Caenorhabditis elegans: one gene and its partner. The protein of the gene in region 2 purifies or fractionates together with the protein of the main gene of each other region. This does not show direct contact. Each region holds a gene or a part of one and is shown on either strand. Other genes may lie near its edges. The genes, in order: clec-265 and C29E4.17.

The links.
Region 1: the proteins of C29E4.17 (region 2) and clec-265 fractionate together in Caenorhabditis elegans (co-fractionation; one large-scale study listed by BioGRID). This does not show direct contact.

Annotation. Positions count from the first base shown.
Region 1 is NC_003284.9:3,029,924-3,033,670, forward strand, and holds clec-265 (C-type lectin domain-containing protein), read left to right. Parts: upstream 1-1,859; 5' UTR 1,860-1,872; coding exon 1,873-1,973; intron 1,974-2,021; coding exon 2,022-2,158; intron 2,159-2,202; coding exon 2,203-2,301; intron 2,302-2,356; coding exon 2,357-2,545; intron 2,546-2,599; coding exon 2,600-2,761; intron 2,762-2,814; coding exon 2,815-2,993; intron 2,994-3,042; coding exon 3,043-3,144; 3' UTR 3,145-3,194; downstream 3,195-3,747. Other genes in the region: M02F4.2 (Nucleotid_trans domain-containing protein), read right to left, coding at 3,402-3,504, 3,547-3,626.
Region 2 is NC_003281.10:7,920,653-7,923,627, reverse strand, and holds C29E4.17 (Spiroplasma plectrovirus-related protein), read right to left. Parts: upstream 1,122-2,975; 5' UTR 1,091-1,121; coding exon 1,086-1,090; intron 882-1,085; coding exon 779-881; intron 735-778; coding exon 645-734; 3' UTR 609-644; downstream 1-608. Other genes in the region: C29E4.14 (EF-hand domain-containing protein), read right to left, coding at 2,628-2,691; Putative protein tag-250, read left to right, coding at 1-52, 339-426, 1,711-1,799, 1,850-2,038, 2,348-2,531.

The DNA of each region.
Region 1 (3,747 bases), on a different chromosome or scaffold from region 2:
AAAATAACTGTGTATTTATGTTTTTTTATGGAAGTATTTCAAGACTACGAATGGAAGAAGGTTGCCAACCTCAGTCTGGAGCTGTTCCTCGTGTAGTCGCGTGTTCAAATTAAGTGAAAAGGTGAGCATTTTTTCTTAAGATAACGTTTGCTCGAAAACTTTACCTTATTTGACATTACGAATTTTCAGGAGTTGTCGAAGTTTATCCAGGAATTCAACAAGGTTCTCCCTCATGTCCTTTGCGCTAAGAATGGCGATCACTGCTTCAAAAACATTCAAAATACGATCCTAGTCACAGAAGCGATTGGAAAAATTTTCCACGGAGAAGTATTTTAAATTATTTTTTTACAACTTTCTCAAATTTTATTCTTACAGAACACAGCTCATTCGATTTGCTCTGACGTCATGAAGTGTGAAGGCAGTTTGTTTGAAAATGGTCGATGCTTTCGTGAAATATCAATGTTATCAACATCATTGATCTAAATATTTGTTTTTCAATTGTCTATCCTTGTGTTCTTTCCCTAATTTCCAAAGCAACAAGTCCAATATGTTTTACATCCACTAATTTTCTCATCTCGCTCTTTGATATGTTTTACAACTGTGCAATGTCTCTAGTAAATGGAAAAATATATTACCTTTCAAAATAGATGGCTGTTGATCTCGTGAGTTTCTCTCATGATGATTTCTACCAGAGCATACTTGTGATGGATGACGATTGGCTCATGTGATGATTCTCTTGGAAGCATTGACGAGTGAACTCTTTTTCTGATTCGGTATAAGCCGTCGGATCCAAGGTAAATATCTAAATCAGTACCGAATTTCGAAATGTTGTTTTCCATTTCGCGGTAATGTTCCTGGATAATGAATTTTTGTGTCATTCGTCTTTGTTGCAGCAATAGATTTGAATTCTAGCGTTAAAGGAGAACAACGGGATTTGCGGCGAGAATCGTAGCTGATTTTGGAGGAACGACGGAAGAAAGAGTAAATCTATGGATATGGCAACGCAATTTTCCGGAGACAAGCGAAAAAGGACAAAAAGGACTCTGTGTTGGCTCCCACTGATGTCTCGTGAACATGAGCACAATCGGAAAACCAAAGAAGTTTCGACCGATGGAAGCAAATAATTCCGAGGTGGAGTACCGAAATTTGAGACTTTGCGTTTTAGACACAAAATGACGCAAACCTACCGAATTTCGTAACCAGACGTTCTGAAAATTTTTCAAAAAAAAAAATTATGGGCGCTCAAAGTTTTGGAAAAAAATGGCCCTTTTTAGCTAAAATCTCAAATTTTTGATAACTTTTCAGTGTCGCAGCGGTTGGAACTTAATTTTTATTTGATTGTCATCCTTTGCATGTTTTGGCATTTTATTACGTGTTATTTTGTTGATCGAAATGTTTTTTGGTTGATGCGGGCACAATTATGGTACCAAAAACGCATCTCAATTAACAAAATAACACGTAGTAAAATGCCAAAATATGCAATTAAAGATGACAATCGAATAAAAATTAAGTTTTTTGGTCGATGCGGGCACAATTATGCAACGATTTATATGTTTGTATACTTATTTGAAAACAATGAAATATCAGCAAACAATCAAACACTAATATGCTTTTGACCACCACCGCAAAATAATTTCCGTTTAAATATAACTTCTTGATAATACGACTACAAATGCTGCTTCCAAATTATTTCCAAAAGGTTATCATTTTTAATTAATCAGTGACATTTTCATAAACCGCGATAAAGTATTTCAAGAAAGACCAAACTCCCTAATGACGATTCGGAAATTGAAATCATCATGCAATTATGGTGCACTGATAACAGTTGTATAAAAATCGTCATCGGAGGCATTGATATCGCTCGATTCGAAAATGTCGCAAAACTTAATTTTTGTAATTTCTCTTATTGCTTCTGTGTTTTACTGCACAAATGCTTTAACTTGCCCAACTGGAACAAAAATCTATAACGCAAAGTGAGAATCCGTTCTTATTCGAATTGCACTGTTAATACATTTGTTTAGATGCTACGCAGCTCTTGGCATGGATATGACTCGGGATAATGCCCTTGCCTACTGCCGGAAGACATACGGACCATATGCCAGACTCACCACACCCCTCACGTATGCTGAGAATAACTTTGTCACTGAACAAGTTCAATGTAAGTTTAAAACGTTTTATCTACATACATTTGAATTATTGTAGTACATGCTAATTGGCACACTTGGCTCGAATATGTAGCTGATGGAACATATATTGTTGGAGATGACGGAAAACCACCAATCTACACAAACTTTGCAGTTGGTAAGTTCAAAAAGCTTTCAATTGAACATTTTGTTCACCAGTCATTTTGTTTCAGGAGAACCATTCAGTGTAAACGTTGGTTATTGCATCACAATTGGAATGAACGGATACTGGTATGCTCAGCCATGCCCAGATTCTCACAGTGTACTGTGCGAATTTGACCTTGTGCCACCAACCCCGAAACCAGTGCTCACCACAACTGTAAAACCAAGTGGATTTCCGAGCTGTGTTCAAAAGTATTTGAGTAAGTTATTTTTCTGGAGGATTTCCAAATTTATTAATTGGCTCTTCATTTCAGACTTTGTTCCATGCCAATCCGGATGGGAGTACTATCCACCAACATGTGCTTGTTTCAAGATTATTTCCAACACTACCTATTATAATGCTATGAACACTTGTAGAAGCATGGGAGGAACACTGGCTTCTGTTCATAATGCAGGAGAAGCTGCTTTCATTAACCGTAAGATTTTGCGCTAAAATCAATTATATATGTACTTATATTCGAATTTTCAGGTCTTGGAGTCCAAGCGAATTCATATTGGGTTTCTACCGCGACAGCTAGAGACAACATTATTATTGGGCTAACTTATAACTCGGACCGTGGATACTTCCAATGGGATGACTCTACTGTTTTTGACTATGCTCAGGGATTCGCTCCAGCTGAGCCGGCCGACTATACTAGCCAGGGACAGGTACTAATTTTTTTGAAACGGCATTTTTTTCAATGTTTGTTGTTTTCAGATTATCTTGAACAATCCGATGGGGTATGCAACCTACATGAGAATGGGCAACTGTGCCTATCAAACATGTCGATATGCAGCATGTAAACGATATGTCTATTAAAAGTGTTCTATTGATTTGTTTCTTTATTCTGATGAAGATTTTGTATTGCTGTTTTCTAATATGTTGTATACTTGAATGTGCTTCATCTTGTATAACATTTCATAAAATTTCCCTAAAATACGGTTTCAACATAAATTATCCGTTTGGATAACCGGATTTTTTCATGTTAAATGTTTCACAAAGTGTAAACTTATTGTTATAAAAACGTGTCGTTTTTTATGTGTTCGGAACCAAGAACGGAAATAAAAGTCATAGAATTATACAAAAACGTTCTCAGTTTTATCATAAATCCATTCGGTCATTTTATCCATATGATCTCTACACATTCCACCAGTGCTTGTACAAATAATTTGTGTTTCCCTGAAAAAAACTACTTTTCAATTTACTTTTAGTCAAACTTACATTTGCCGAACGCAATTGTTCAATCCTTTAATGAAATCAAATGAGAATACGGGAAGCGAACCATTGAATATTGTTATAGCCTAGAAACATGCAGATTTCCATTTGGTCCTCACGGCGTGTTGAAAATAGGGCTTCCCATAAGGTCGCTGCAACAGCGCCCGCGACGGCCTACACCCACTTGTATCCGAATTTATAGTGCGG
Region 2 (2,975 bases):
TCCCGAAGATTGGATTCAGCAAGTCACTGCTGCAGAAGAGTTTGAAGCTCAGGTATATTCTAAGCTATCAAAAGTATTATATCACCTAAATTACGGTACCCGGTCTCGACGCGATTGAAAACTTAAAAGAGTGTGCGCCATTCACGAGTACGACACGAGTACGACACAAACAAAAACAAAAAAAACGACTTCAATGGTCATAACTACAGTACTCTTCACATATTGTAGCGCAAATAATTTCAAATCGTCCCGAGACCCATTATCGTAATTTTTCATGAAAACCGCTACTTTTCGAGAAATAAAGACTAAAAAATTATTCCAAAAAAAGCAATTTCCAGACACGCGGCCCCATCACCATACTGTTCGTCCGTCTCTCAAACACATCATCGTTCAAAAGACCACCCATAAATTCAGTAAATGTACGAGGTGAATGAATACATTCTGAATACATTTAAATAGACACTCAAAAAGTGAAAAGAAATAACAATTATGTGAACATGCTGTCGGAAAACGGGGACACACATACAGAATAACTGTCCTTTTCTTGTCCTTTCTATGTCTCTTTGTCCCTCGACCTAAATTATTAGTTTGAAGTGTTACTAGTAAAATTACTAATTTATTTTTATTCGAAAAATATTTAAAAATCAAATAATTAGTTTTTGCTTTTTCTTCTTCTTAGTTTCTGCTTCAGAATCCGGTGGCCTGTATGAAATTTTCAGATTGAATCCGCCCATCTAAAATATTTAGAATTAACTGAATAAATTCAAAAAGAAAATACCCTCCTAATCCGCATTGTCAAATAACCACCCATAATTATTGAGAAAAGTGTGAGCAACAGGATGGATCCCAAGAAAATCCATTCGATTATTTCATTGGGTAAACTGCAAAAAAAACGGAAAATGAGGGGTTTACTTAAAATTACTCAAAATAATCATGAAATACGAAAAAATGATGAAAATCGACAAGAAATGAAAAATCTGTCTGATAGGTTAAAAAGTGTGTATAATTTTTCATTCTTTTTTGATTTTTTAAATGATATTTCTTAATTTAAGACTATTTTAGATTCGTCGAAACAAAATTCTTACCTCATCAATAGCTTTTTGAAACACAAATTGTTAAAAAAAAAGGAAAACGTCCCTTGACAAACCACTGTTGTAAAAAATTACTACAATATGAAGTTCACGTTTTTCAAAAAAAATATACTAGAAATTAATTCTGATTATTTCAAAAGTGATGAAGTAAATAATTGCTAAATCAAAGGAACCTGTTCAAACAGTATTACAAACGATTAAATTAAAAATTCCCGCCAATTCTTCTATTTATTTACTCGGTCATAAGTATTCCCAACCTAATATATACTCACATTTCAACGACTTAATTAACATCACCTCTTTACTGTCCAATCCCCTTTATTCTTTGCTTAGCCTATCCCTTCATTGCATGAAATTGATCCCATCATCCAAAGCCTCCTGCTGCTGATGCTTCATCTAATCCCTACTTTCAGCTTGCCCAATTCGCATTAACACCACGCCCCCTCTGTCTTCTCTAACCTTAATTCGAATATGGAGGAATTGAATTCCGATTTCAGTGAGTTCTAATCGTTGTGTAATTATATACTCACTCGTAATTTGTTTTTTGTTCTGCACCAAATGTTTTCTAAAAATATTTTGTATTCTTTTTGAAACATTTAAACATTCAATACTTATTCAGTCATTTCCACGGATCGAGAACCAACTGCGGATGAGTTGAAAAAAATTAAACAAAGAAAAGAGAATGAGCCAACGGAGCATGCAAAAACGGTATGTTTTTTAAATTCAATTTTTTAAGATCAATTTTATTTAATATTCAGCTTTCTCAACAATCTGTCGCTCTAAAAGAAGGATCAACTGTGTCAATCGTCTATGCAGATTCGCCAAAGAGATTCTTTATTCGAGCTCTCGCGGATGACGATCAGTATGAAAAAATTGGAACTACGCTCGCTGAGATTTATGCTCAAGAAACTCCGCCATCGGCACTCGATAGTCGAGTTGCAATTTATGTAAGTTCATGTGCTCAACTGGCTTCCGACGAAAAAAGAAAAAAATTGAAGTTGTTGAAACAATTAAAAAACGTAAATATTTTTTGATAAACATACAAAGATGAATAAAAGAATTCAAAAACTAATATTTCGGATAACGAATTAAAAACTATAAAAAACCCGAAACTTGTAAAATATACTTTGTAGATCTACAAAAAACGTTTGGAGTTCCAAAGTGGTTTTTTGTTGCCTTTTTGGTTCGAAAAATCCAAAAAATGCCCAGCCCTGGTACTTTTACATAAATGAGACAACTGTATTCATTAATTACAGGAAATTGTGGCTGGTGGAGCTTATGCCCTTCAAGATTCGAATGGAACATGGTTTCGTGTAATTGCCAAGCAGCCACCACAATCCGGACAAGTCATGTGCCATTTTGTGGATGTTGGCGTCTGTGAGAAATTCCCTGTGGCGGCGATAAGACTCTTACCACCTGCTGTGCATCCAGTAATGTCAAGTGAGTTTTTTTAAATTTTTATTAAAATCTAAAAATAATCACAAAAATAGGTAGAAAGTTAATTTATAGAGTAAAATTAAAAAGCAATATTCGAGTCTATGAGAACTTCTTTGAATATTCGCTGAAACTGATCATCCCATCTCCATTTTTATCGAGTTCGCTGAAAATGTATATTTTTGAAATATCATTATCGATGATGAGAGCCCTTTTGTAATCGACATGGAAACGAGATGTATGGTCAATTGACAACGCTCCGCCCCCAATCCACGTATTTCGTTAGGTATTTGACGGCAAAACGTTTTCAATTAATTTCGCCGATTTTTAAGCAGTTATTTGTTTTTATTATTGTTTTTTTATAACTTCAAAATCAATAAAGCTAACGGAAAACATAACAAAACAGGCGTATAATGCTTGAAAATTATACCTAACGAGACCTATGGGTCG